Tamandua tetradactyla: one gene and its partners. The protein of the gene in region 4 interacts with the protein of the main gene of each other region in a biochemical or structural test. Links are inferred from orthologs where the notes say so. Each region holds a gene or a part of one and is shown on either strand. Other genes may lie near its edges.

What was found.
Region 1: the proteins of NHERF2 (region 4) and ABCC4 form a complex in vitro, tested with the Homo sapiens proteins (2 studies listed by BioGRID and IntAct, with this or other methods). The link is inferred for Tamandua tetradactyla from reciprocal best matches to the Homo sapiens genes NHERF2 and ABCC4.
Region 2: the proteins of NHERF2 (region 4) and KCNJ1 form a complex in vitro, tested with the Homo sapiens proteins (2 studies listed by BioGRID and IntAct, with this or other methods). The link is inferred for Tamandua tetradactyla from reciprocal best matches to the Homo sapiens genes NHERF2 and KCNJ1.
Region 3: the proteins of NHERF2 (region 4) and PDGFRB form a complex in vitro, tested with the Homo sapiens proteins (2 studies listed by BioGRID and IntAct, with this or other methods). The link is inferred for Tamandua tetradactyla from reciprocal best matches to the Homo sapiens genes NHERF2 and PDGFRB.

The regions. Positions count from the first base shown.
Region 1 is NC_135330.1:163,980,386-163,988,061, forward strand, and holds the start of ABCC4 (ATP-binding cassette sub-family C member 4), read right to left. Parts: upstream 3,033-7,676; 5' UTR 2,880-3,032; coding exon 2,806-2,879; intron 1-2,805. UniProt on the Homo sapiens protein: ATP-dependent transporter of the ATP-binding cassette (ABC) family that actively extrudes physiological compounds and xenobiotics from cells.
Region 2 is NC_135334.1:7,766,354-7,774,274, reverse strand, and holds the start of KCNJ1 (ATP-sensitive inward rectifier potassium channel 1), read right to left. Parts: upstream 3,081-7,921; 5' UTR 3,063-3,080; intron 1-3,062. UniProt on the Homo sapiens protein: Inward rectifier potassium channels are characterized by a greater tendency to allow potassium to flow into the cell rather than out of it.
Region 3 is NC_135346.1:30,946,786-30,954,478, forward strand, and holds the start of PDGFRB (platelet-derived growth factor receptor beta), read right to left. Parts: upstream 3,084-7,693; 5' UTR 2,397-3,083; intron 1-2,396. UniProt on the Homo sapiens protein: Tyrosine-protein kinase that acts as a cell-surface receptor for homodimeric PDGFB and PDGFD and for heterodimers formed by PDGFA and PDGFB, and plays an essential role in the regulation of embryonic development, cell proliferation, survival, differentiation, chemotaxis and migration.
Region 4 is NC_135349.1:55,495,820-55,502,787, forward strand, and holds the start of NHERF2 (Na(+)/H(+) exchange regulatory cofactor NHE-RF2), read right to left. Parts: upstream 3,058-6,968; coding exon 2,845-3,057; intron 2,622-2,844; exon of another isoform or gene 2,417-2,621; coding exon of another isoform or gene 2,315-2,416; intron 789-2,314; coding exon 588-788; intron 1-587.

The DNA of each region.
Region 1 (7,676 bases), on a different chromosome or scaffold from region 4:
GATTTCAGGAATTTCTCTGTCTACCCCAAAATGCCAGAAAGCAAAAAGAAATATTTATATAACAATTCAGTAATAAAAATCATCCCTTAAATCCTGATTTCTGGGTTACAACCCCCAGTCCACACTGTGCTACAAAAACATCAAAATTCCAATAACATCATTTGTATGAAAGTTGGTTATTGGCATCATTTGGGTAGGCAGCTACCAGTTCACAAGTTTAGAAAAATGGAATCTGAGAAGAAAAGCAAACGCCAAAATAGAAAACAAAAAGTAGATTTTCTCTACGAGGCGGGCCTTGTTATCCAGCAGCCACCTCCTGGCTGGCTCATTTCAGCTTTCCTGATTGCAGGGAGAAGGGTAAACAAAAAATCACTTAGCTGCCAGAGACTATAAATTTCCTCGAAAAGCAAAAGGTAAGTAAAATAGGACAGCCAACATTGCCCACAATTGTCTTCAAAATATCCTACCTCCCCTTTAACACTTAAATATAATATGCAATCACAATGCCAACAGAAGGAAGTCCTTAAAGCAGCCAGTCATCATTCTGATTCAATCATCATCACCTGGAGTACTTGTTGAACCCGAACCCTCTGAGTTTCTCATTTTCCTCTATCAGTCTTCAGTGGGTCCCAGAGAATTTGCACTTCTAACAAGTTCTCAGGTGATGATGAGATGGACGGTCTGAGTGCCATACCTTGAGAACACCTGCATTAAAGCATGGTAATAGATGTTTCACTTTCATCCTCACCAAAAGCAAGAATTTCCTTTGCAAAACTCCAGCATCCATGAACAAGGGTCTATGTGAAATAGCTTTCTCCAGGCACTTAACATCAAGTACCCCAAAGCAGCAGCCCACTTCAGAGGTTACAAACAGGTTCTGGAGCCAGAACATCCTGCATTTGGATCCTGCTTTGCCACTGTGTGATCCTAAGCAATTTATTCAAACTCTCTGGGCTTCAGTGCCTTCATGTGTAAAACAGAGTAATTAGTTCCTTCCCCTCTAGCTGGACACCTACCCTAGTCATCACCTTCCCCTGTCCTTCATTGCTTCAGTTCCTGCCCTGCAACTACATTTTGAAAATCCACACTTAGACAGTGCTACAAGAGTCCAGGGCCCAACCTGAATTTAATGAGAACGCCTGCCTGCCTGCCTTCAGGTTCTTATTTATGGGCACCACACCCATATTCCTTCCTCCTCTGCTCCCCTGCCTCAAGAGAAGGGCCAAGAGAATTGCGAATAAACTACAATTAAAACAATAGTGGGCGCACTCAACCCCTTGGGATCCTGTAGGTTTTCCCATTTAAAAAAAGAAGGAAACATTAGTCATCAGAATATGTGGAAAAGACGAAAGGGCAGAGATCAGGAAACAAAAATGTCTAATAATCATCCACCGGCGATTAATGCCCAAAGGTTCAAGTCTACGTAGTTAGTACTCACAGCTTCTAGCTACAAACCTGTACTTAGGCAAGTTCAGTCCTCAGACCCCATTTCCTCACCTGCTTGTTTACTCACATAAGAAACATAGCTCTAGGTCCCTCCCAGCTCAGCCACCCTTCCTGACTCCCTGACAGGACCACTGACATCAAAATCACAGATCCTCCCCTGAGACCTAGAGATCCGGGCAAGACCTGTACTACTACAAGGTTACAGGGATCCCCCATCTCCAAAGTTGTTCTCAAAAGTAGCAAAAGTGGAAGTGAAAATTTTAGCAATAGGGAAAGAGACTAGCCAAAGACATACTCCAGTCTTGGCTATGGTCTCACAGTTGAAAGCAAAATGTGGAAGCGGATCTTTCTAGAGATTAATGTTCCTATTCATTATATTAAAAATAAAGTGCCGTTTTACCCACGTGAAATTTGCCACAACTAGGTACCATGGTACAACACAGACTCAAACCCACAATGAGATACACACGGACACAAGAGAGAGAAGGACACACACACACACACACACACACACACACACGGATACCAAGAGAAACTCGAGAACAGAGAGACAGACACACAGCGGGAGCTCCGTAGAGTTGGAACGCAGCTGTCACCTAAGGACTATCGGAAGGGGTGGGGACACTATTGGGAGATGGTGCTGGTCCCGGGCACTAATTAGACTCTGGATCAGATGAAGGAAGCTGTTCATAAAATGCTTATTCAAAAAAAGAGAAAAAAAAAAAGTGCAAATCTAGCGCAGAACTGCGAATCCCTGAGTGGTAGGTGGGAAGCCAGCTAGGGATGAGAGTTTGGGGATTCCAGTACTTTCTCCACCTGGGAAGGCAATCTACCTTCAGGCAGCCTGGGTTTTCCGCGTCCTGCAGCTCTTGCTCCCGGACACTGAGGACCGGCGGGACTGAGAGGTACCGCGGAGAGAGGGGGAGACCCGCACGTGCCCTGCGCCCTCCCAGGTCCCGCGGCTCCGCGTCAGTTCCTGGGTCCAGCGCCCAGCCCACGGGCTCCTCTCCCGCCCGCGCCGCACACCAGGGCGCAAGCAGGCGCCCCGCGGCCGGCGACGAAGGCGCGACGGGCGGCCCCACCCGCGGCAGGAAGCCCCGGCGTGGATCCAAGGACACGGGCGGAAACCGCTCGCGACGCTCGGACCCAGGCCCACCCACCACCAAAAGAAACGCAGAACAGGAGGCTAGAGCCCCGGGAGAGAGCCTCCGCGGTCGCGGATGGCGGAGCGGCGGTGGGGGGGGGAAGAAGGGAGGGGAGAAACGGACTGCCAGGGCAGGATGGGACAGGTCGTGCCCACCGGCACGAGCGGCGGGAGGGTGACCAGCTCCGGCGGAGTGCGGCGGCGGGGCTGCTCACCAGAAGAACACGCGCGAGCAGAGGTTCGCGTTCTGCAGAGGGTTGGGTTTCACGTCCGGGTACACCGGCAGCATCTCGCCGGTAAGGAAGGGCGGGTACAGGCCGGGGTCGCGTTGCTCCCGCGACACTTGCGGCTCCCGCCGCTCCCGCTGCTCCTGGTGGCCTCGGGTGATTCGCTGGAATACCGAGTCTGCTCCGCAGCAGTCAAAGAAACACCCGCTTCCGGAAGCTGGCCGCCGGCGGCACGCCCCGTCCCCGCCTCCCAGCCCTCGCGGCCTCCGAGAGTGCCCCCCACGCGCCTGGGGCCCGGGAGCCTCGTGCAGTGGCCGAGCGCGGCCCACGGGCCACCTGGTAGTGCAGCTGGAAGGGATGGCAAGCTAAGGTAACAGGCTAAGAGGCCTGGGGTCTGCGCGCAGTGCAAGGCGAGGGGGAGCCGACGTGGCTGTATGGACGCGGTTAGGCAAACAGCAAAGCGTGGAGAGCCCGTGCAGTCAGCCCGCACGAGGGAGAGGTCCGGCGGCGCGGAGGCACCCACGTGTTGAGACCTGAACGTAAGCTTCACTGAAGTTCAAAGATGAGCGCCAAGGCACCCACACACAAAGTGGCGACGGGAGGCATCGGCTCCTGCCCTGCCTTGCTTCTCAGAAGCGCCCCCCGAGGCTGGCATTTTAAGAAGATCTGGCGAAAGCTGCAGCTTGAGCAGCCCTCACCCCGGCGCGGCGCGTTGACCTCACCAGGAGCAAACAAGTGTACTGTGAAAGGTTCTCCAACCTGCGAGCCAAACACATGAGCTCGTGCAGTCAGGGTTTCACACAATATCTTTGTAGAGCTGCAAAGCCCTAAAAAAATGGAAGTCAAAGAAGATTAGCAAAACCCAAATGATTTTGGAGGATGAGTGAATGCTGTCACTTGGGGGCCAGGCTTTTGGCATTACAAGCTGCATTGTTTGGTGGACTTCTGTGGAGTTTTTGCTGCTCTCTTAGACTGGGAAAGGGGTATATGAGGGGAGAGAGACTATCTTATGATTTCTTTGATTGCTCTCTCAGACTTTATAATAACAGCAGCAAAAGGAACATATTACAGAACACCAGTTATATGCATTTCTGGGTACCTTACCTCTTTAATTTCTTGCAAAACCCCATTGTAGAAGGTATTGTTATCCCTATTTTCAGGTGAAGGTGAGGCTCAAGAAGAGAACTCGTCTAAGGTCCTAAGAGTTAGTAAATGATGAAACCTAATTTGGATTCAAGCTAGTATGTGTGGATGGTCAGTGCGTATGAAAAGTACCCAGAAAACTGGGTTGAATGATTGTAGGGATGAATGAACAAATTGTGTTCCAACTCATAAGTCTTCATTATTTGTGTAGCCACCTTACCAGCTCAGCAGCTTCTCTTCCCTTCAGCCCTCAATGAAAAAAAGATCAAAGATTACATGTTGCTGGTGGTTATAAAATCACTTTATTATTATTTCTTATAATTTCTTATAATTTCCCTTTGTTTCAAATTAGTAAGTTAGATTTTAAATTTAGGTCTGAGTAGAGGTCAGGTATAACTCAATAAGAAACAGAGGCACTAATGCATGAGAAAAGATAGTTTATTACCCACAGGTCCCAGAGATAGGGGTGACATGAGGGATTGACCAGAAGCCTGATCAGCTTGAGTGACTCACTCAGCAGGTGGGGAGCACACAATCAGAATGAGAGGGACCAATGGGCTGGTGCCTTTATTGCTATGCAGAGAAGGAGGTTATAGATTTCCTATGGGAGTCAAGGACTGGTTAAAATGAACATGAACCCTTAGGAGTCCAAGGGCATTGCAGATGGGTAGCAGATCATTTGAAATCAGCTGTGGGCTTGGGGTCAGGGATGTGGGTGGTGTTTGTCACATATGTGGGTTTCAGCTCTGGGGGAGTTTATTCTCCAGGGCTGGAAAGCTGTTCATTAACCAACTAAAATCAGTGCTGAAGCTTCACCCAAGTGAAATGGATGCTGTGATGGTTAAGTTCATGTGTCAGCCTGGTTAGGTTATGGTGTCAAGCTGTTTGGTCAAGCAAGCCCTGGTCTGCTTGTTGCTATGAGGGTACTTCATAGGTTTAATATTAGTCAGTTGATTGTTTCTATGGTTGACTACATATACAAGCAACAAAGGAGACTGCCTTCAGCAATGAGATAAGTCTCTTCCAATCAGCTGAAGACCTTAAAAAGAGGACTGGTGATTTCAGCAAAGAATTTCTGTCTCTACTTCAGCCATCCGTCTTCCCCTGGGAAATTCATGGAAACCTTCATTGGAGTTCCCACCTTGGTGCCTGCCCTATGGAATTCAGACTTGCCCATCCCCCCAGTTGCATTAGCCAATTTCTACAGTCTCATAATATTTAAATATATATATCCTGTAGATTCTTTTCACTGGAGAACTGTGATTAATACAGATGCCTAGGCCACACACAAAAGTTTTGATAGTTATGACACCCTTGTACCTTAGTTAAAAGAGCCTTATTAAAAACAGCTTTAATGGGCAGGTCATGGTGGCTCAGTGTCAAGAGTTCTCACCTGCCATGCCAGAGACCTGGGTTTGAGTCCCAGTGCCTGCCGATGAAAAGAAAAAAATAGCTTTTATGGTGATTGGTGGTGATGGTGGTGGTGGTGGTGGTGGTGGTGTGGGGGAGGAGCATGGTCCTGGAATCAAGCCTTGGTCTCTCACAAGGAAGGTGAGCATTCTACCACTGAACCACTCATACACCCCTAAAAACAGCTTTTAAACAGAGGCTTATTGTATGCAACACCTTTTAAAAGTCAAGCATAGCACACATCAGAGTTACACCCCCTAGAATGGAGCACCCGCACGGCTACGTCCTCCTTGGCCACCAGGCACCCACTTTCACAAGCATCAGCCTAACATCCCCAACCTGTGCCCATACATGCCTGAAACAAATCACCATACTTAGTGTTCTAACCCATGCTCTGCTCCCTGCTGTACAACCATCCCACAAGCACAAGGCCTTCGACTACTGAAAGAAATTTGAAAGACATTATAAGAGACAAAGAAGGATACTATATACTAATTAAAGGGTCAGTTCACCAATGTTTATGCTCCCAATCAAGGTGCTCCAAAGTACATGAGACAGACATCAGCAAAACTGAAGGAACAATAGATGTTTCAACAATAATAGAAGGAGACTTCAATATACCACTCTCCTCTATACATAGAACAACCAGACAGAAGATCAAAAAGGAAATAGAGAAGCTAAATAACTTGATAAATGAATTAGACCTAACAGACATATATAGGTCATTGCACCCCAAAGCACAAGGTTAGACATTCTTCTGTAGTGCTCATGGAACATTCTCCAGGATAGATCATATGCTGGGGCACAAAACTGGTCTTTATAAATGTAAAAAATATAGAAATTATTCAAAGCACTTTCTCTGATCAAACTGGGATGAAGCTGGAACTCAATAACCACCAAAGAAGGAGAACATTCACAAATATATGGAGAGTAAATGACACACTCTTAAACAACCAGTGGGTCAAAGAAGAAATTGCTAGAGAAGTCAGTAGCTATCTGGAGATAAATGAAAATAAGGATACGACTTATCAGAACTTATGAAATGCAGCAAAGGCTGTGCTGAGAGGTAAATTTATTGCCTTAAATGCCTATAGTAAAAAACAAGAAAGAGCAACAATCAAGGACTTAACAGCAAACTGGAGGAAGAGAACTGAGAAGCAACATCAAACTAAACCCAAATCAAATAGGAGAAGAGAAATAAAGATTAAAGCAGAGATAAATGAATGGAAGAACAAAATAATAGAAAATCAATAAAACCAGAAGTTAGTTCTTTGAGAAAATCAATAAAATTGATGGGCCGCCATTAGAGAAATGCAAATCAAAACTACAATGAGATATCATCTCACACCCACCAGAATGGCCATTATCAACAAAACAAAAAATGACAAGTGCTGGAGAGGATGTGGAGAAAGAGGCACACTTATCCACTGTTGGTGGGAATGTCAAATGGTGCAACCACGGTGGAAGGCAGTTTGGCGGTTCCTCAAAAAGCTGAATATAGAATTGCCATACAACCCAGCAATACCATTGCTAGGTATCTACTCAAAGGACTTAAGGGCAAAGACACAAACGGACATTTGCACACCAATGTTTATAGCAGCATTATTTACAATTGCAAAGAGATGGAAACAGCCAAAATGTCCATCAACAGACGAGTGGCTAAACAAACTGTGGTATATACATATGATGGAATATTATGCAGCTTTAAGACAGAATAAACTTATGAAGCATGTAATAACATGGATAGACCTAGAGAACATTATGCTGAGTGAGACTAGCCAAAAACTAAAGGACAAATACTGTATGGTCCCACTGATGTGAACCGACATTAGAGAATAAACTTGGAATATGTCATTGGTAACAGAGACCATCAGGAGTTAGAAATAGGGTAAGATAATGGGTAATTGGAGCTGAAGGGATACAGATTGTGCAACAGGACTGAATACAAAAACTCAAAAATGGACAGCACAATACTACCTAATTGTAAAGTAATTATGTTAAAACACTGAATGAAAAAAAAAATTGATGGGCCGCTAGTAAGACTGACAGAGAAAAAAAGAGAGAGGATGCAAATAAACAAAATCAGAAATGAAAAGAGGTGTGTTACCACAAACCCCAAAGAAATCATAAGTGGATACTATGAACAACTATACACCAACAAACTAAACAACTTAGATGAAATGGACAAATTCCTGGAGACACACAAACAAGCTACATTGACTCAGGAAGACATAGAAGATCTCAACAAACCAAACACAAGTAAAGGGATTCAATCAGTCATCAAAAATCTTCCCTCAAAGAAAAGC
Region 2 (7,921 bases), on a different chromosome or scaffold from region 4:
TGTTTTAAATCCATTCTTATACCCCCACCTGCTAGTCAGTCTGTGGATGCTCACTGCATATTCAATAAACATTAATGGAAGAATCAGCAAATTAAGCTCTTCAAGATACAGTCTGATCAGTGGTTTCTTACTGATGACATTATTGTGACTTCTAATTTACAACAGCAACAAATTAAGGGATTTCACAAACAGCCAAACAATGATGAAATCAAGGGTTCGTTAACACTCAACTACCTCTTCCACTACGCCAAAGAAAAATCTAAATGTTCCCACCTTGGCTGGCAATGTCTTTGTGGTATTTTTAATTAAATGCAAATATGTTTTTAAAATAGATTTCAAAATTCCCCTTTGAAAATGTGTTTATTCATAAAAACTAGGAAGCGAAACTGACAGTGATACATTTTAAACAAAAGTGACATTCAACGCTGTCTTCCTCGTGGTTGAACCCTGCTGAACATACAAGAAGCCAACACCAAATAGAAGTGAAAACAAAACCAGTCGTGGTGATATGAAATGTTGAGGGCTGGCTCTAAAAATATAAAAATAGACTTTGCCCACCAGGAGAGAAAATGGCAATGCATACATTCAGCCTTGCCTCCTTCCACCCAAGTCCTTTGGGGACCTCAAGTCCCAAAACAGACTTAGTGGATGGTCCCAAATGAGGTTACTGAGGGAGGAATAGTGTTCTCCTTCCCCCATTTCTCCTCTGCTCTTGCACAGACATTCCTTAATCCCACTTACATCCAAAGAGGACCGACGGCTTTTCCCAGGCATGTGGAAGCTCACAGATTTCAGAAGTTTCATCTCACCTTAAATCATAAATTCTAAAACCAATGTTTATCAAATAAGTTCTACATGATCTTTGTCATACATTATAATTTCAGAGATGGAGCTCAACACACTGACTTCTGAGTTTTTCTTTCCCACCTCCCTTCTTTACCAGCACTTTAAATCCATTCAATTTTGAGGGTACAGAACCATTCTACAGACTGGATAATTACCTCCCAACTTATCCCTTGGATAAGGTTGGGTTTCCAAGACTGTATTAATAATGAAATAGTATTTGTCAGGTCTTGCAAAGATGTAAAGCAAAAGCAACCTCCCTATGATGCTTTTCCCAGATCCCCAGATTGTCTTCACTTACCAACAACTTATAAATATTCCCTTTCTGGCTGGCAGCATCCATGGCTAGGTAAGACAAGGCGGGGATGTTGGGAGTTGGCCTCTGCCCGCAGGTTGATTTCGTTTAGAGCCAGGCTAATTTAGTTTTAGGCTTCAATCATGGACTGATGCTAATTTATATTACCTTGAAAATACTTAATTTGATAATGGGGTTGTGTGGTTTAAACCAAGGCAATTGGTTGTTCTTAGACCAAGCCCCATGCTGAGAGAGAGAGAGAGAGAGAGTGTGTGTGTGTGTTTTCCCAAACCTCACATGGCTTGAATACCGTCATGCTAAGACATGACAAACCCTCAGTTCAGGTCCCTGGGCAGCAGGTATGGACTGTGGCCCAGAGTTTCACTCCTTTCCTTAGCCACGCTCAATAACTCTTGCTGTTTCTCCTAAGTCGTGCTCAATAGCTTATGGCCAGAAACAATTATTTATCATCAATCTTCCAGCCTGCTCCTTGAAACATACTGAGGTATGGAGGTTTCCAAGGGTTTGAAAAGCTAAAGGCAGAGGATATGTACAAATTTGCAAGATGAAATAAGATTGCACTAGGAAGAAACAAGAGAGCGTGTTAATCTCTCTATTCAACAGTCATGGTTATATAAGAAACTGAGGTTTAAAAGAAGCCTTTATTGTTGGATTTATTCTGTAAAATCTGGCATTTACTGAAGGTACTTTTTACCTGTACTTGGTTAACCAATCTGTTGATTTATTTATTCAAATAGTGAGAAGTATTATATCCAGACAATGCAAGAGTACAGGAGACATTCATCCTTTGACCAAACCCTTCATTCACAAGGCAGACCTTTTATACATGTATTTTACTTTGTTTAGACACTTAATCTGACCACAGACAGAATGAATCTATATTTTATGAACTCTTGCATGTTCACAGACTGTCCCTGGTGTCTGACTTATGTAACACAAATGGTTTTTAGGTCCTTTCTGTTGAAATCAGTCCATCTTAATAGCAAGCATAGGGCTGTACATTAGCTAATATTTACCAAGGCATTCTTAGTGGGTTGGCAAAGCAACTGGATTATGTTACTGCCATTTTCCTTTTTTGAATCCTTCAGCATTCTTGTTCTGTGAACAATCCATTTTCAGGAAATAGACTTCTTGTAAATTTTCCACACATTTATTGTAGACTGAGTTTACAAGATTTCAAAGACAATAGAACCTCATCCCTGTTCTCAAGAAGCTCAGGGTCTAATGGGGAAGTGAGCTAGGTAAATCAGCAATTACAATGTGGTGTGCTCTTCATCTGAAAAAAAATCTATTTTCTGAAAGATCTCCACTAGATGGGTATTTACCCTCTGCTAAAATACTTTACATGACAGGAAACTCATTGCCTTTTGTATACATAAATTTATTTATCTATCATTGGCCAACAAATACCTATTAAGTCTTACTATGGGTCCCAGGCATCGTGACGGACATCAGGAAAGCAATTCCTTACCAAGCGAGGCCAGCCCTTGTCATTGTGATGGTTCCCGTGAAGGGTAGGAGTGGGAGACAAGCAAATCAATAAGCCATTAAAGGCAGGGGAACATGGGTCATGGGCCATGCTACAAAACAGTGGTTGCACTCAGGGCAGCACCAGTTCTGAGTAGGAACTCAATCAGTGACTGTTGAATGGTGATAAATCATCAAGGTAGACATAAAAGCCATGAGTTTGTGGTCACTTGTATTGGCTTTACAAATGATGGTTCCCCATCTAAGGGAATCAAGTCCTTGGCCACATAGCATTAACCACAGTCCTAATAACTGTGTGTGTGGATGATTCAGGTGGGGGCATTTTAAAGAGAGCACAAAGGGACTGAAAGCAGTTCCTTGTCAATATTTAGAGTACTAGGGGCCTTGGTGAGAAATCAGACTGGAGAGGCCATGCTATAACATCAAAGACATTTTTGTTATAAGCCTAAAAGAAAAACTAGAATAAAGAAACTGTAGTCCTCTTCAGAGAAAACTCACTATTTTTCTAAATAGGTCTGAAGTCTCTTCCACTTAACAGCCCTTCAAATTCCTGAAAATAAACATATTTTTCCCCTTTATCTCCTTTTCTCCATAAAAATGCAGTTTTCATCTGCATTAACGTCTGCTTTAACCACACTCTGCATATTAAATGAGGTACCTACAGTTTGTGGTCACTGCTGATATTTCGAGAACCAGAAGGGAGGCTGTTCCTTTGCAGGCAATGACCCCAGAAGAATCCACTAAGAATTTAAGATTTCTTAAAGTTTATCACACTGCTTCCTTCCCATCCCCAGGATACTTAGTGGGTACTACATCAGAAAGAAGAGGGCAAATAGGTGCTGGTTTTACTACCTCTTACTTAGGATTACTCAGGCTATTATTTATCTCTGTAGATGAAAAAGTATTTATTATTAAGCTGCCTTTTAGTCAAGCCTCACACAACTCAGACTCAACCTTAGTTAACTTCAGAGTGTTCTTGAGAGTTGAGTTTATGTTAAAGAAGTAGGAAGTAGGAGTTATGGGGACCCAAGAGCAGGAGTCAAATGTTTTTCTCTACTCCCTTTGCAGTTGTGGTGGAACAGAAAATCCAAGTTTCCATGAAAATGAACTACTTTCTTTCAGGCCAACAGTCAACTAAATTAACAGATGTTTCTTGAAGCCCCACCATGAACAAGGCTAATGGATGGGATTATGGGATCTGATCTCTGCCCTCTTAGTCAAGTTATTGAGCAAGCATTCTCTGTATTGAACTCCTACTATGTGCCAGATGCTATGCTAGGAAACAAATGAGGTAAAAGACCCTGCTCCCAAGGAGCTCACAGATAAGTAATCTTATTGAAATGCAGCCAGCAGCCTGCTCCCTGGGAGAGGGAGGACACCAAAGTGGAGAACAAACAGGCTGAGTGTCACGCTTGAATTCTTCTGACACACCTTTGCTCAGGAGCAGAACCAAATGCATCTGATTGCTACTGCAGAGGATTTCCTGTTTTCTATGAAAGTAATCTCAAGGATTTGCAAACAGAGCCCCCAAGGAACAGAAAGTCAACTAGCTCCTCTGACTACCCAGGACCTATGGTACACACAAAAAATTTTGTTTGGTGATGCAGAGAAAAGTTACCTCTGATGACTTTGGCATTGTCAGTTAGTTCTTTTGGGGTCAGCACAAACTCTACTTATTTAAATTTGGAAAGTCCAACGCCAGCTCTTTTCCCTAGCTTCATGGGCATGGAAAGGAGCATTTGGACCTCACGATTCTTTCAGGCTAGGCTCGGGAATGTACTGCAGGAGGACTCCACCTTTCCCTCAGAGTGAACACACTTCAAGGCCTCTCTGCTATGAAGTAGGATTATGTTCAGGGCGGAAATGCCACACAGGCCTTCCCAGATGCCTCGCTCCTTCCAGAGCAAAAGCCAGGAAGGACAAGGTCTGATTGCACTGGCACTCTCACAAGGCACACTGTGCTCTGTAGACAGCACAGGAGTAGATCATTCATGTAAGCCAGAGGTGTGGCACGCAGGTGGGCTCAAAAGAGGATAGGAGAGCTGGCCCAGGAAAGCCTACGATTTAGGTCACAATCAGGGCAACATGGAAGGAAAGACCAGCTCAGCTAAGGATAGACATGGATTTGATGGGGCAAAGGCTTGAGCAAGTCTCCTTGCTTTTCTGAGCCTCCATTTCTTTACCTTTGTGGAGTGGCTATAATGATATTACTTTCAAAGATTTACAGTATACTTTAATTGCAATATCATATTTAAAGTTCCTAGAACACAGCAATTCTAAGAGAGCATGACAAAGTTCTGGCAATAGGTATATCTATGAACTGTAGTGGTTTCAGAGCCTGTCCTCCCAATGCGGAATGGAAGACCTGGGAAGTGCAAATGTGTTGTATAAAGGGCTTGTCTCTAATGAGAGAAGAGAAGAAGGAAGAGGGAAGAAATAACTGCCCCTGACAAGGTTAGGCAGAGGTGTGGTATGCAGGGCAAGGCTGTTCTGTCCTGACCAGGCATCCACTGGGATTTGGATTGTATCACTGCAACCCCATATGCCCTCTGAAAAAGAGATGCACGTCCCCAGACATCCAGCACATCTACCACAATCCCAAATCCTAGGAAGTCCTTTCCAACATCTTTGAGTGAGTCCCCTGCCTCCTGGGTCTCTCTGGCTGCCACCAGCAAGAAGCTCACCTTGCTCAATGACAGGCATGACCCAGGTGGCCTTTGGGTGTAGCACTTGACACCACCAAAGGACATATGGGCACCCAAATTAAGAAGTGTATCTAAGAGGCAACAAAAGCTGTTTTCAAGCTGCCTGTGTGAGCCAACCCCATTCCTTTCCATAAGCCACACATGCATACATGCATTTGTACACCTGCATGCCCACACTTCGCACACACATTTGCTTTTGTATGAGGTGGTGAAGAATCGAGGAAACAATCAATTGAGATACCAAGAGTCATTAAATACAAAATCTTCAGGTTCAGATTTTAAATTTCATCTAAGCTAACTTGTTCACCAAGGGCATTGATCATCCTAAAAATAAAGCCCGTAGCTCTCTTCATGACTCCTGCATGGGGCTCCAGAGGGAAGCCTCAGAAGGTATGCCATCCCCTTCCACGCCCCCCACCCCCACCATGTAGCCAGCCTGGGAGCTGGGCACCTGAGCCCAGGTAAGGTGACTTGGAGGTCTGGAGGTGGTGTGTACTGGCCTTAGAGTCAGAAGCCAATGCTTTGGAGGCTGGGCTTTTATTTGTGTGTACTTTATATATTGTTTCCTAGTGTTCATCATCATTGTTTCTGAAATTATTTTGGAAACACCCCCATGTCTCAGCTGTGCAAAGAATGGTGGATGGAGGGGATGCATTATCTCTGCCTGGTAGGGAGTTTTGAAGACACAGCAGTGCAGGTGGGGGTGGGGGCTGGTGAAGAAGGTTGGGGGTGGGTTAAAGTGAGCAAGCCCCAGGGGACAAGAGAAACTCACAGCCACAACCCAGAGCTGGGCCTCCTGGGTTCCTATTCCAGGGATTTTTAAAGAATTCTTCTCTTCTAAACTTCAGAGTTCTGCACTATCCTGGAGGAAAGCGCTGCCCTCTTGGATGTGATTGGACCAAGCCTGGGCAAACAAGGTAAACCCAGGCCAGAGCGGAGGTGCTCAGACTGAACTCAACGAGGAGAGAAACGGGGCTGAGGAGGCCCTCCAGCCAGTGTAAGATAGGAGTTACCGCAGCCCTGAGAGCTTCAGGACCTGTCCCCAGCTCCAAGAGACATGTCCAATTCTGTGGAAAGAGCGGCCCCTGGAGGCGAGAGACTCTGGGGTCCGAGAGCTTGGGGCCAGGCACGGTGTGGTCTCTTTACGTTCATGACCACATTGAAATCTCACCCTGGGAGGTGGGGAACTGAGACTCAGAGACGTTCGACAACTTGCCCAAGGTCACAAAGCAGAAAACCCAAAGAGCAAAGATTAGCATCTAGATCCGCCTGACTGAGAAACCCTCGCCTTGAGCCTGAGGGCATACTCAAATAGTCCTAAACCAAGTCGGAGCAAGGCAAACATTTACTCAGCTCCTACTTACACAGTGCTGAGAAAAGTGAGTTTCCATATATTTCCTTGCTCCCAGAGCATGTTCAATATTCCCAATTTCAGTTCTCCCAAAATATGGGTGGTAGATGGCAAGAGCTGGGGTAAGGGGACCAAGTTTTGTTTAGATACCAAACAGAAAAGGATGGGAGAAGGTTTGCGTTGGTGAAGAGGAGGGGAGGAGATGGGAAAGGAAGGGAAAGGAAGAAAAGGGAAGGGAGTGGAAATTAGTGGGGGGCGGGGGGAGGAGCAAACTTTTATTGAGTGCGGAGGTTACACCTAAGCAACAGACTGACGATATAAAGATAAGACACATTTAAGGCTGTCCATCCTCATGCCAATACAAAGTCTGTGCTGGGTCTCTGCTGGGAACTCCTGGGGCTCCACTCTCCCACCGGGCTAATTTCTTCCATGTCATTTTCTCAGAAAGAAACTTAAATGTCAGTTTCGCAAAGAAAGGGGTTTCCAGGCTGCCCTCACCCCATTTAAATCTGGTCTTTCTCTTACAATTACATTTGATTTGTAGCACTTATAGTCATTCCTAGTTCAGCATTTCTTCTTGTACCGCTCTGCGGGCAGCAGCCACATCTGTCTCTACCGCTGCATCCCCAGTGCCCACTTAGCCCGGTGCCAGGCAGAAAGAAAGCTCAATAAATACTTACCAAATTAACAAATAGAGGTAGTAAGGTGTGAATGACTCAAGGTGTTCAAGTTTTTAGCACTCAGCCGAAAGCCACTCTCTGATGGGCCATTGGTCTCCGGTCTCCACATGCCCAAACACTTATCCATCCTGCCTTTTTCCAGCCTGGGTGGCCCAAAGCTTGCTCCCTTAGAAGTCAAGGTGAAAGATGAGCCACTTGCCTGCACCTGACAAGGACCAGGAGATGATTTTCAAAGCTTCATGTATGTGTGAAACTTGTGGCCTGTAGGAGCTGCTGGGCTGGGGTTTCCAGTGTTTGCCAGCTTGTCTTTGTCAGAACTCAAGGGTTGGGGTGAAGGTGTGCCAGGAAAGATACCTGGTAACCCAAAAGAAAATAAGTGCTGCATTCGAATGGGTATTTGCAGTCTGGAGAAGGAGGGCAGTTCCCTGCAGAGCCCCAAGTTTCCATCAGTCTGTACCAGGTACTTCATGGAAAGGGGAGAAGGGCCACTTCCCTCTCCTGGGGACTCTGACTTCAACTCAAGTTCTCAGATCTCCAC
Region 3 (7,693 bases), on a different chromosome or scaffold from region 4:
GTGGGAGTCAGCCAAGCCTGGGGTTTCTACCCCCTGCCCACTGGCTCCCAGAAGAGGAGGAAGCCCAGAGCGGAGACGTGGGGCCTGAGGCTGAGCACACAGAGGGTGTAAGCAGAGCCAGGGCAGCAGCCGAGCCTCCTGACTCTGAATCCGCGGTGCTTTCCACTGCCCTACATCTGTGGGTAATTACAAGTCCCAGCTCGTCCTCCCAAGAAATGGCTGTCATCCCCAGAGGAGGGAGGCCTGCCTGATAACCACGGTTGTGAGAGGAGCGGCCTGTCCAGATGGGCTTCTTCCCCACTCAGGAGCAAGCCAGGGCCCAGGCGGGTCTTGGAGCAGAAGGTCAGACCTGAGACAAGACTGAAGTTGCGGGAGGATGGAGACTCTCTCCCTCTGGCCGGGGCCTCCCTGCATAGCATGGGGCTTTGGATTCGGGTAGACCACAGCTTAAATACCAACCCTGCTAGGTGTGTGACCCTGGGCAAGTCACTTAGCTTCTCTGAGCTCGGTATCCTTACCTACAAAACAGGGCTAAAATCAACACTGATCTCAAAATCCTCACAGGCCTGCTGTGAGGATTGAGGCCTGTGAGGTACCAGACTCTATGCCTGGCACGGCGTGAGTGCTCCATGATGAAACCAACACGCCTGATATGTCCACAGATGCTCCTGCCTCCTGCTCCGAGGAAGGGGAGGGCTATGAAGAGCTCTTTGGAGGGAGGCCTTGTGCGCTCTGGGGCTCACAGGCGTGGGCAAGGACACCCCTCCCTCCTTGCAATGGGGAAATGTGGCATATAGGAATTACGTGCTGGACACTTAAGGGAAGGCAGGAGGCCTGGGTTCTGGTCTCCCACTTGGGAACAGAAGATCTGCAGCCAGTCCCTCCTCTCTTTCAACAGCACGTTTTCCCAGCCCCACTTCTGCCCAGGGCTGGGCACAAGATGGGGAGACCTGAGGCTGGCACTTTCTCTTTGTTATGAACTGAACACAAACAAGAGAGGGCCAAGCGGGTGGTCCACGGTGGCTCAGCCGGCAGAGTTCTTGCCTGCCATGCCGGAGACCCGAGTTAGATTCCCAGTGCCTGCCCATCTAAAGAAAAATAAAAGAGAGAGAGAGAAAGCCAAGCAACAGGGTTCCAGCACAAAGTACAAGACAGTTGCTTGGGAGTTCAGAGCTGAGAGTGACCCAGGGACCGAAAAAGCCAGGAAGGCTGCATGGAGGAGGAAGGTGTAGGGAGTGGCCTTGAAGGAAAAGTGAAGGTGATGAGTAAAGGCCTTCCAGGTAGGGGGAAAGGGGAGAGCAAATGCCCACAGGCAGGATGGTATAAATTCTTTCTGGGGAGCCTGTGATCTGCTTGGCAGGAACAAAAGGCCCAGATTCAGAGTAGTGAGGGGGCTACCACCTCTCCACTCTCCACCATCACTAGCTCATGTGTGGCTATAGTTATGTGGCTGCTGTGAGCCTCATTTCCTCATGTGTAAAGGGGAGTTTAAAAACAGCTCCTGCTTCTGGGGGCTGAGTGTTGCACAAGATCATTTTCATAAAGCCCTCAGCACAGTGCCTGGCATACCCCAAGTATCAATCAGTGGCAGCTGTTATTAGGGGCTGGGGTTTTCTACAGGCCCTGGGGAGCCACAGAAGGATTCTGAGCAGGAAGCTGGAGGGATCAGATTTATGTCTTAGAACGGAGCGGAGAAGGAGCGGAGCTCAGGAGGCAGACGGCGAGTAGGCCTGAGCAGCCGACTGGCACGGGAGGAAGGGTTTTGCCAATCAACCCCCTCTTCACACGGGGACCCCCAGATCCGACAGCCAAGCCCCAGCCCCCAGTCCCAGCCACGCAAACAGTAGGCTGGGGCCCCCTTTGCTACCCTGCCCTCGCACTTTCCCAGCCCCTGGGGGTTTGGAAGGACATCTTAGGAATCCGGAAAATTTGCAAATCCATTTAAATCCCCAGAGGTTGCCTGGCGGCCGGCTGGAAGAGAGCCAGTCCCATTCTTAGGGACAAGGCTTGGGCCTGGGGGTAGGGGCTGGGTGCCTGAGGTCCATGTACCCTGTTTGCCATCCCCCAATTCCCCTCTCACGCCCCTCCCAGCTCTCCCTACCCCCCACAGATGATGCTGTGTTTTGGAGGCCCCAAGCTGCATCCCACCAGAAACCACTGGAGGTTGTTGTTGAGGAAGGGGCAGCAGAGTTGCGGAGGCAGAGCCCACCCCGGAAGCGGCCTGAGCCGGGAAAGGAGATAACGGGCTCCTCCAGCCCTGACATCACCTGCAATCTCTCAGCCTCCTCCCATCTGGTTTTGTTAAAAATATTTTTCTTTTTCTGACCTACAAGGAGGTGCAGGATGGAGCAAGGGGACAGGGTAAGGGGCTACGGCTACCCCGTCTCAGCACTTACCTGGCTCTCAATGCCTTCTGGTGTGGACAGAGTCCCAGGTTCTGGGCTGCCACCGCCTCCAGGAAGTCCTCAGTGCCCTCTCCCTCTTATTAGGAAGACTGGTAGAGTGGAGACAGGGCAATGGGTGGGCAGAAAGGCAGGCAGGGCGGCTGCAGGATCCAGGAGCCTCTGGACAATGAAGGAGTGGGAGGGCTGCAGGGGTGCAGAGCAGCCCAGCTTCACCTCACTCCCAAAGCATCCTTCGGGAGGGGCCGAGCTGCCAAGAGGGGCCGCCCTGGGTCTGGCTGTTTGCACTGGGCACGGTGCAGGCTGCTGTCTGGCGGCTGGTCCGAAGGGGCCAGGCTCACTCTTTCTCGTTGTTGTCCTCTGTGGCTCTAAGTTGCTCCCGGAGCAATCCCACGTCCCAGACAGGGCGGGCAGGGACTGCCGGGCCACTGGCAGCCCCAGGAGCTCACACCACTGTGGGCTTCCCTGCCCCCCCACTTTAGGGGAAAGGCTGCAGGGCGGCCTCCGATTGGCCCAGCTGGGAGAAGGGGGGAGGCAGGGCAGGGAGGGCGGACGCGTGCGTCTGTTTTCAATTTCACGTTTTTTTCTCTCTCTCTTTCTTTTCCCCCAAGTTTCTTGTTTTTCTTCCTCTTTTCCCCTCTGCTTGCTCCCTCCCATCTCACTCTCTCTCAGGATGTGAAGGGATGTTTAGAAATTCCGCAGCCCACACCAGCCAGCCGCTGAGTCACTTTTATTAAAGAGTGGCCCAGCCCCACTTGCCTATTGCCTGTCACGGTGGTGGCTCCTCTTGCCATGGCACGTGGAGGCAGGGAGGCACATTCTCTGTGCCTCAGTTCCCCCTCTGTAAACGGAGCTCTGGTGAGCCATGTGGGTGATTCTGCAAACAAGTATTACTGAGCACTAATGAGCCAGGCGGGGAGCAAGGGATGAGATTGCAAGTAAGACACAGGCTGATGGGGAGACACACAGTGATCAAGCAGGTATCCCCGGGAGGACAGGGAGCTAAGAGGGCACCTAAATGGGGCCTCCGGGAATCGGGGAGTACTTCTGAGAAGAGATGGCTTGGATTATAAGTCACTTATCAGAAGAAGAAATCAAGGCCCAGAGCTAACTTGGAGCAGAGAGGGAAAGCACACATCTTCAGATCTCCAGATGTATTCTTCCTATCATTTCAAAGCCTCTGGGGGGAGGGGCAGTAAAAGACTATTTGTCCCATTTTACAGATGAGGAAACTGAAGCCTAGAGGAAGAAAATGAGCTGCCCAAGCTCACACAGCAACAGCAGAACTGGAGCAGAACTGGTCTGATGAGCCATGTGATTGAAGGGGCATAGGTTATCTGATCCTAACATACATTTCAGAGTAGAACAGTTCTCCTGCTCTGCCTTCTTCCTAGGTTACCCCCTCCCTGTCTCTCTTTAATTCAGTCAAAATTAACAGATATTTTTAAGTAGCTGGTATGCTCTACTTCCAGCTTCCCTACCAGGGACTGCTGAGGCTCCCTGGGTCCCCTGGCTAGGCCTCTCACCTCCCACACTCTTCTTTTACCTTGGCCTCCTTGCCCTGACGATGTCTCTAATCACTCCCTCCTAGCCCTTAGATGCTAAAGGGCTAACAGTTTAAGAGCATTGCATTGAGCCCATTTTTGCCCCCACTATTTGTGCACATGGGGAAACTGAGTCCCAGAGAAGGGAAGAAAGGAATCCCAGGTCACACAGGTAGAGCTGATATAACCCAGGGCTCCTTCCCCTCTGCCCTCTGTACCTCTGCCCACCCCCTTCTCCTCCTTTCTCCCACCCAGCCCCCTGTTCCCAGGGCAGGGTTTTGTTTGAGCTGGGATTCCACGCCAATGATGGTAATCTGTCTTGTGATCATTCTTGGTCCTATCCCAGTAGGGATTGCCTGGCCTAGCATCTGGACTGGGCTGCACGGAGAGAGAAGAGTCCTCAGGCTGGCCCCATGCCGTGGGGTGGGGAGGCCATGAGAACCTCCCAAAGCCCAGGGCTTGGTGGCAGCAGAATTTTAGGGGAATGTAGGGGGACCCCAGAGATCACAGTGTTAGACCCACACAGGACTCTTTATGCCCAAAAACTCTCTGAGGAATTTGCGGCTCCCCTTCTGGAACTTGCCTAACCATTCATCTCTGAATCCTTGGCCCAACTGCTGGGACCAAGACAGCTGAGGGGGTTTAAGGAGGCATTTCAACTTCCTAGTCCCCATAAAAGCTGGCCTGGGAGTCAGGAGACCCATTCACGTATCTGTTAGTTGACCTTGGAGAGGTCGCTTGTCGTTCCTGAGCCTAAATTTCATCATCTGTACATAACAGAGGTGAACTCGCTATACCTGAAAGCCCTAGGTTTGCTCTGCTGCAATTTCCCTAAGAGCTGGACTCTGGCTAGGGAGAGGCGGCTGATGAGCCCCGGGCAGGGGGACAGCTGGGGGCCAGATATGTAGCGCAGAGGGGAGGGGGCGGCTGGTGGTGGCTCCCTAGGGAAGCTGGCGGCCGACAGTTTCCGGCCAGCCCAGCCTTCCGCTGGCCCATCTGGAATCATTTAGCCCCTACCACCATTAACCCTTGGTGGGCACTAGGGCTATGGGGCCTCCTCTCAGCTGAGAAGGGGTTGGTGCTAAGCCACATGGAGCACCACAGGGCACTTGCTGAGAGCTGGACAGTTGATGCCGAAGGGTCATAAGAAGGCAGGCTTTGGGGCCAGAGACAGACCTGGGATCAAATCCCAACTTCTCCACATCTGAGCTATATCACTTAAATTCCTGAGCCTCAGTTTCCTTATCTGGTAAATGGAGAGAATCCAAGGACTGACTCATAAAACCCTTGCAAATTAGCACTGCACTTAAAAGGGTTTAGTACAGTGCCTGGAAGTATAATTATTGAAATAGTGAATTTCCCTCATTTGAATTGCCACCAATTACTGTGTGTGCCTAGGCTGAGCCCTCTCTTCTCTGGGCCTCAGTTTCCCCTTGTGTACTCTGAGAGGGCTACATGGTTGCCACAAGGGGAGCTCAGCACTGACATGCCAGGGTGGTCAGCATAGGCTCAGCCCCATTGCGGACAGGACGAGCCACAAGCATTCCCCTGCCTGCCCAGATGCTGGGAGCCCAGCCCACCCAGCTGATGGCTTCAGACAAGACTGGCCTGGGGAGGGCTGGGCTGAGAGTGGGTGGGCAGAGTGTGGAGCACGGGAACCCTGTTCCATGCTGGGAACATGATGGGGAGAGAGGTACAGGGGAGAGGAGCCCTGGGCCTTGGGTTCAGCATCTCCCCTCCCCGCAGCACCCTGGTACTGCTCAAAGGTTGAGTTCCAACCCAGCTCTGCCACTTCCTAATTGTGTGACCCTGGCCACTGATATTATCTGAGCTCTCTGAACCTCAGTTTCCTTACCTGTAAAGTGGAGATAAATGTGCCTACTTTACAGGGCTGTTAAGAGACCTGAATAAGCCACATCCAGAAGGCGTGTGAACAGAGGACTAGAGCAGAGTGAGAAAACTCCACCAGCGGTGCCTGATTCTCAGGGGTCACCAGGAGCGGCTGTCACAGAAGTCCACTACCAGGGCTGGAGGGGAACGTGTTCAACCCGCTCATTTTACAGCCAGGATGACTGAGGCCCAACGAAGCAATTTTGCAAGGCCCTACAATGTGTCACTGGCAAAACCGAGCCTGGAACCACAGCTTTTGCCTAAACTCTGAGGCCCAAGCTTTTCCCTGAAGGAGGGAACAGGGCTCAACTGACTCCCCTCCTCAGACCCCCACCCACGCTTGTCAGAGCCGGAAGCCACAGCTCTCAGTGGGGCAGGGGGAGGAGGGTGTCCGGAAAGGGAGCCTGAGTGGGAGAATTCCCACCAGGCCGGCTCAGCGCTCACTCCGGCAGGGCCAGCGGCCACCACATCTGGCTCTCCCACGCTCCCAGACGCGGCCCCACCCCCACCGCACCCACACTCCCCAGGCACGGGCCAAGGAAGCAACACATATGTCCCAGGCATCAGTGCCGTCACCTTGGATGCCAGGGCCTCAAGTGCTCCAAGAGCACAGCCACTGCACAGGCGTGGGCATTGAGGTCCCGAGCATGGAAAGAACCTGCCGGAAATTAGCAGGGAGAAAGAGACCTGGAATGCAGGACTCCTGACTCCAGCTCAATGTCTTTTCATCCTTTCATGCCCCGTGCAGGTACACCCCTGTGCCTGCAGCCTACCGCCACAAAAGGCACAAAGTGGAAGCTACCCTCCTTCTTATCCCCTGGATACTCAGCTTTTTCTTTTCTTTTCTTTTTTTAAAACTCGGAGCTTTAATGGTCATTTAATTGAGCAACTTAAGAGTCCACTGTCTACAACAAAGACCTGTGGCACAAAAAGACTCCAAACAGGAAAAAAGTTTCCATGGGGATATATATCACACAGCATCGGTGCCCACTGCCTGGACACTGACACTGCAGGCTGGATGGGGCCTTAGTCCTTGGAGACCTCAGGCCATATTCCCACCTTAGGTTCCCAGGGCTGCCCTTAGTGGACAGACGGCAGCCACCAAGGCCTGCGAGGGTTGCAGGAGGTAAGGGCTTTGAGACACTGCCCACCTAAGCCTCTCCCCAGCCTCTTAGGTGGCCTCCACTTCGGTGCTCCAGGACCACAAGGAACTGGGGCAAGTCCTTCTGGTACACACAGATGGCTCAAGGATCCTTAGCACAGCAGGGCCCAGAGGCCACACGTCTCCTCCTCATTGGACACACTAAGGCCCAGGAGGGCCAGAACGTGCTCGAGGATGTATAGCAGTGCTGGGCTGGGACCTCTGACTCCCAACAGCTCATCTAGGCAACAGAAGTTAATTGAGCACCTACTTTGTACCCTGCCTCACAGAGCTCACATACAAACACCGAGATTAGTAATATTAAAGTGTGAGGAATGAGACATAGGGAATAAGGGCTTGGTGGAGAGGGGTCCTGTCTAGGTAGAGAAAGGCTTCTCTGGGGAAGAAACATTTCCACTGAAACCTGTAGGTCGAGAGGCCACACACCATGTGTGGGGGGTGGGGTACGGAGGCAGAGGGAACAGCATGTGCAAAAGCTCGGAGACCCGAGAGAGCTTGGTGTATTGAACAGAAAGGAAAGAAGGAAGGGAAGGGACATGGTGGAGTAGAAAGCTGGATGGAGGCAATCAGGGGCCAGGTGTCAGGGCCTTGTGGACTCCAGAGAGGATTCTGGCTTTTATCCTGAGGGTCAGGAGGGGTCACTGCAGCATTTTAAGCAGGGAGTTGATGAGATCAGGTCACTGCAGTACAGTATG
Region 4 (6,968 bases):
CCGGGCCTGTTCCAGCCTCAGAGAACTGGAGGTGCCCGCAGGTCCCCGGCCTGGCCTGGGTCAGGCTGTCTGCACAGAGGGAAAGCCCTCCCCCACGCTGGAGGCTTCTGGGGAGGGGAAGAGATGGCGCGTCAAGACCCCACATAGCCGGCCTCGTCCAGCACCCACAAACCCCAAATCTGACACCTCTTCCACCCAGTGAGGCCACCCAGTGACCCCTCTGGCACTGCCCCCACCCCGCGACCCCTCCTCCCCGGTTCTCCTGGCCTGGAAAGTGGTCAGGGAGAAGGGGGAGCTGCTCACAACCCGGGGCGCCAGCAGCCCCGATTCCCGGCCTGAGACCCACTCATCACCCACCCCTCTGGGGCCCCTCCTCGGCTGCCCTGACCACAGCGTGTGCTGACTCCACGGACGCAGGGCTGGCCCTCGCAGTCCCAGGACTTCCAGCAGCTCCGCCCCAGGGGGCCCAGCCACTTGGGACTGAATGAGCTTTGTGGGACAGAGGACCGGGCGTGGGGAGGGACCGGGGGAGGGTGGGAAGAGCAGCCCCAGGGGCCGAGGCGGAGGTGCCCGGCAAGCCCGCCTACCTTCCCGCCTGCCTCGGGGCCCGCGCTGCCCGTGGCCACCCAGTCCGGCTTCGGCTCCCAGGGCTCATGGGGGGGCGGTAGCCCCCGCCGAGCCATCTCCTCCGTGCAGGTGAGCTGCCGCCGGCGCAGCTCCTCGTCCGTCTCCGTGTCCACCACCAGCAGCCGTGTCCGCCCTTCCACGGCCTTGATTCTCTGCACCACCTGGCCCGGGGAATGGGGGGTCAGCTCCGGAGCCCAGGGAGGACGGCACCCCGCCCGGGGCTGGCCGGCAGGGATGGGCGGCTGGACCGAGATGCCTGCCGGGCCCGCCCCCCACCCCCAGCCTCGGTAGCTCCCGCCCTCTTCTCCCAGAGCTCCCGACACCCGGGACTGGTTGCAAGGGCCGGGGATCTGAGCAGGGCTGGCAGTAGCCCAGGGTCCTCTCCAGGAGGGGCCAGGCAGGGGGCTGCAGGGGTGGGTTAGCTGCGTGAGTCGGTCAGTCTGTCTGGGGATGAGGGAGAGGGTGAGGGTCTGAGCTTCAGGTTTTTGGTCTGTGCATGCATGGCCTGGGGCCTGGCGCTCAGGCCGGGTTTCAGGAACAGAGCAGGGTCTCCCCAGGCCCGGTCTAGAGGGATCTTTCTCAGCAGCAGCATGTAGCCCCTAAGCCCCTGCCTCTCCCCATTTCCGTTAGCCACAGACTGGGACCTGGCATCTGCAGAGAAGCAAAGAGCTGGGCTCCTCTGACCAGGTGCCCACGCCCAGCTTGGCAGGGCTCAGACGGCCAGGAGAGAGGGCTTCAGGCCCCAGAGGCAGAGGGGGATGGGGCCGGCCCACCTGTGGAACGGGTACTAATGGTTAGGGCTGCTACGTGAGTCTGTGAGCACCTGTGACGTGCCTGGAGCACGCAGGCAGCTGCGGGCATGCACGTCGGGGTTCACCCGCAAGGAGAGGAAGCCGTGTGGTAGGCGGGACCACGACCCCACCCCACCCCATGGCCTAGGGGCGCCGCCAGGGCCTCCCCATCAGCTGCTGGGCAGACGTCAACAGACGGGAGTAGCTGAGCCAGACCCATCTTTGCCCTGGCTTTTCTCTCTCCCTGTGACCCCAAGACCCCCCACTCCCCTCCTGTGTGACCCTGCGTAGGTCAGCCACATTTCCAAGCATGTGTCCCATCTATCAGGTAGGAACTGTAACTGCCCCTCTCCTCCTGGAGCAGCTGGTTGGGGCACTGTGGTCCTGTGTTTAGCTCTGAGAGGCCAGTGCCCCAGAGGCCCCGGGTAAGCCAACTCTACCTGTCCCTACCCCGGCCCACCAGGTCGAGCCCCCCAGCCCCTGACCCCACACTCCTCCAGCAAACCACCGTATCCAGTTGATGGTCTAGAAGGATACGAGGAGGGCACACAGATGGACAGATGAGGGTCCCTGGGGTGGGAGAAGGAGTTCAGCTCCTGGCCCACCCAGACCTAGCCACGTGGACAGGTCATGACCCTGCAGGGCTGGAGGACCCAGGCCAGCGGGGCAGGCACCCCCCAGGAGTGAGAACCCACTGAGAAGACCCCTGCCCTCCCCCTCTGGCCCGTGCCCTGCAGCTGCAGATAGGGGCTGTGGCCAGCGGAGCTAACGGATGTGCTGCCACAAGCAGCTGACCCAGACCCACTTGGCTGGGGCACACACGGCCAAGTCCCCGGGGCCCAACATGCACACAGCCACACGCAGGGGAGTGCACACACAGTCGGACTCACACTCACCTGGGCATGCAGCGCTGCACACACACACAAACCTGTATACATCCAGGCGTGAAGACTTGTCCACGCGCTTGCACACACATGCGCACGCGCTGGTGAGTCCATGTACACACTAGCCCTGGCTGTGAACACTGTCAGAGATGCATACACACACACAGATGTATGCACACGCGGGTGACCGGCACACTCACACACACACCCAGGGTGTATGCAAACGTAAGAAAGCACGCAGGGTCCCCAAGTGGGGACCCACCAAGACCCCTAGGATGCAGGGCACCCCTACACTGGGCGCCGAGGCCAAAGGCACCTAAGCAGAGAAGGCCCGAGCCGCAGTGCGGCCCCTCCCTGCCAGGCGGCACCCCCAGCCCCCACCCCCGCGCGGCGCAGGGCTGAGCTTCCTGGGGGGTGGGGGAGTCTAGGAAGGAGGCCGGCAGCCCCCACTCCCCACCCCCCATCCCCCCCACCGCTGCCTCCGTGGCGCAGGCCGAGACGCGGGGGTCCCAGGGATGGGGTCCCGGGCGGGGGCCACCCACCTGGTGGTGCGTCTCTCCCTCCACATTGACCCCGTTGACCTCGACCAGGCGGTCCCCGGCGCGCAGCGCGGCCGCCTCTGCGGGGGAGCCGGGCTCCACGCGCCGGATGAACTGCCCGCGGCGGCCCTTCTCGCCGTGCAGGTGGAAGCCGTAGCCCTGCTCGCCGCGCACCAGGCAGCACAGGCGCGGCCGCAGCGGCTCGGGCCCGGCCATGGCGCCGCGGGGCCCCGGCCCACCCCGGCCCACCCCGGCCCACCCCGGCGCGGCGCTCACTACCCGCCCGCCAGGCAGGGGCGCGGGCGCGGGCGCGGACGGCAGCGGCGGCGGCTGATCCCGGCCCGGCGGCGCTCGCGGTGGCTCCGGCTCCGGCTCGGGGCGCCTGGGGCTCCGGCTCGGCTCGGCTCGGTGGCGGCGCCGCCCCCCGCGCCCGCCCCTTCCCGCCTCCTCCGCCCCGCGGCCCCCGCCCCGCGCCCGCAGCCCGCCCGGCCCCTGCCTCCACGGCCCGCCGGCGAGGGGGTGTCTGCGGGGCCGCCCGGACCCCTCTGCCTTGCCCCGGGCTGGGCAGCCTTTGCCTCTGGGTCCAAGCACGTTATGGAGCACCTACTCTTTGCGCGGTTTGGAAGCAGGCTCTTAAAGGGGTGAAAAAAAGGGGCTCCGGGCCTAGGGACCCCACGCAATGCCCACCCCCCTCCAGAAAGCCCTCTCTCCCTCCCTCTCCCCTCCCCTCCCCGACTCGTCCTGCTGTCCGACCCCGTTCCCCTGTCTCTGGGTCCTTCCATTCCCCCACCCAATTGCCCCCGCCCAGCACAGAGTCCCCGGGGGATGCAAGAGGGGCTCAATAGTGATATGGCCAGGGAGGTGACCTGGTGACATCCTGGGCCCCCGGGGAGTGTTGGTGCTATCTGTCTGGGTATAAACATCCCCCCCCCACCCGTTCCGTCCCTTTTCTGGGGCCCCTCACTTTCTCTCACACACACCCCGCCCCAGGTCTTGACTGTGACTCTGCAGTGGCGGCTGGAATGGGGTGGGAGAGGACCCTGCACTTGTCTGGCTGGGACACGGGTGTCTGCGCCATGCTTCCCCCCACCCCCCACCCCCAGCGCTGGCAGTGGCCATAGGAGCCGCTGCACGCTGAGCAGGACGCTGCCGGCCGGCACCCCCACTCCACCCCAGCTCCACCTGCCTCAACAGTCCAGCACCCCTTCCCCCAGGCGTACGGCCACAACCACAGTGATGAATCATTTGTGCTTTGGGGTGCCCCCTGTGGACCACACGCTGTATGCATTTCACCTGGGGCACCCTAAGGGGCCCCGGCCATTTCGCAGATCAGGAAACTGAGCTTGGGAGAAGGAGAGGGAAGAGGCTTAGGCAAGATTCCCAGCTAAAGCTCAGGCAGTCTCTGTAGCAGGGAAACAATCGAGTCACAGGCACGCCCTCTGCCCCCTCGGCCGGCCCCTCCCAGCCCTGCCCGACCCCCTGCACATACTTGGTCCCCCGGAGGCAGGCATGGCCACCACAGCCAGTTCCCCATCAGGGCGGCAGCGGCAGGCTCAGCTCAGACCTGGCAGCTCTCCTCCCTCCAGCACCCCAGGCCTGGCCTCCCAGCCCTCTCCCTCTGGTCAGCCTCCTGGGCCCAGGCCCCCTGGGTGCTCACATCCCAGCAGCTGCCCCTAAAAGCCACTCAGGCTTCAGAGCTGCTCTCTCGCCCCCATCTTTGCAGGTCCCAGAGGATGCCACTGCAGTCGGGCCTGGCTGCGTGCCGTCATGCCACGACTGGGCCTCCCTGGCCCCACCCTGGCCCTGCTGCCCCTGCAGGCTGAGGACGCGGGTGCAGGCAGTCCACGCTCTACCCGAGTGGGGCCTGGGTGTTTGCCCACGGCAACCAGGACCACCCAGGACCTGCCAGGCTGGAGCTGTGGGGTCACACCTGCAGGGGGGAGCTGGCTGCATGGGAGACCCTGAGCCAGGGGGGTGGGAGAGGAAGGGGCCCTGGCCCTCTGAGTCAGGGGGCTTGGAGACTTCTTTCCCCCACCCTCATAGGCTCTCAGATCAGCCCCAGGCCCTTGCTCGCCTGCTGGAGAATAAGTAAAGGTGGTACCAAGGGGAAGGAAGCAGAATAAGTACAGAGGCCCGGGCCACAGAAGTAAGGAAAGGTGCCCCCAAGGTCTGCCGGGCACATGCTCCTCAGGGAGCTTCTGCGAGCCCTGCCAAGGCTCCTGCCAGCTCCCTAGGCCAGTGGTGGGTGGTGACAGAGGCGTGAGTGGCAGAGGCACAGGTAAAGGCAACGAGGCCAAAGGGACAGCATGGCAAAGGCTCAGGAGTTTCCACCCAGCAGTGTCCAGGGCTGTACGCTGCTGGGGGGTGGAGACTGGGGACTGGGCATTGGAAGGGGGCAGTGAGGCAGCAGGGGCAGCGCCTTGGGGCAGGGCTCGGACTGACCCTGGATTTTATTTTCATTTTGTGGCTCTGGGTGTGGCCCGGCCCCCCAGGCCAGCAGCAGGCCACAAGGAGGTCAGGCCAGGGCTGATGAGGAATCCAGGTGACCCCACCCACCCACCTCTGCCAACTGGCTGTGCAGGCCTGCGGCCGGCTGCGCAGGTATGTCGTATGTCAAGACTTTCCGGTCCCTTCCCTCCTCTGGGTCGGGCCTGCATGCTGGGGCAGCCCTCCTCCGCGACGGGGCGGCCGCGGGCAGAGGCCTGGCCACCAACCCACGCAGGACCCTGACCGACGTCGGGGCGGGGGCGACCCAGGGCTTCCCGCTCGGGCGCCTCCTCCCTGACCGCGTCAGTCGCCTCCGCCCTCAGACCGCGCCGGGCCCCGGGCCTCGTTCGGAGCCCGCAAAGGGAGCGACGGGAGCGGGGCGGAGAGCAGAGACCCCGAGGAGAGGCGGGACGCCGGAGTGACGGCGAGGCGGGTGCGGAGGGCGGAGGGAACCCGCGGCCGGGCCCCGCCCCTCGCCCGCAACAGAAACGGCGGGGTGACACCTGCCGGCGGCGGCGAGGATTACATCACCCCGAGCGGCCTCGGACCCCGCCCCTCCGGCTTCCCCCAGGTGGGGGTCCCGGGGCTGAGGCCTGGGCTGAGGCCGGTTCCCTAGGGCTGATGAGGACGCAGGGGCACAGGGGTGCTAAGGACAGGTGGGCAGGAAAGCCGGCCTCCGCTTGGCGCCCACCTGCTCGGTTGCTCCCACCTTGGACCTGACACCCTCTCCCAGCTGGGGGTGCCTCTCCGCCACAGGAAGTCCAGACCCCTCCCCAGGTGGTCCGCCGCTTGCAGCCGAACGCGTGCACGGACCGCTCGTGCGGGGCGCTGGCTGAGCGCAGGGGAGGCTGGCTACCGCGGGCGCAGACACGGCACCTGGACCTGAGCCCAGGGCAGCCCCGAGGGACATCTAACCCCGCCTGGGGACCCAGGGGTCCTGCACCGAGGGAGGCCCTGGGATGTTCTGGGACCTGCCCAGGGTTCCTGCAAGGCATGGGGGCCGGGAAGAACTAAGGAGAGAGAGGGGCCAATGTCTGCCCTGTGGCCAGGCGCCAGAGCAGGGACCCTGTCCCTTAGGCAGTAGGGAGCCCTTGAGGTCTTGTGACACCGTGTTCTGAGGGCACAAGCAGGGGAAGACTGGGGAATGCACAGGCTTGGAGCGGGGAGAATGAGCGGCTGAGGCATCAGTGCAGGACCTTGTGGGGGGCTCTGAGGGAAGGGCTGGGAAGCCTCTGGATAAATAAAATCGGTCGGGGGTGGGGAGCACCCACGTTGAGGGGAGCAGGTAGAGAGAAGGGTGCACTCAGGGGATAAGGAACTGTCCTGGAGGGGAGAGGGAGGCTTCCCGAGGCTGAGGGAGAGTGGGAGCTGTCAGCTAGAGGGAGCTGGATCAGCACCACCACCCCCACGCCCCCGGTCCCTGCAGGCTGCTCTCAAGGGCCCCTGGGGAGACGTCTCCACTGCCGGAAGGCATCAGGGCATGTGCCCCTGAGGTTTAAGGTCTGGACGGAGTGGAGGCAGAGACCAGAGTGAGGAGGGTTGCAGCGGGCAGGGTGGGTGGAGGGGCCTGGTGGAGTAGGAGCAAGGACTGGAAATGCTAGAGGAGGGAAGAGGGGGAGGGTCCCTGAGGGGTCTGCTGA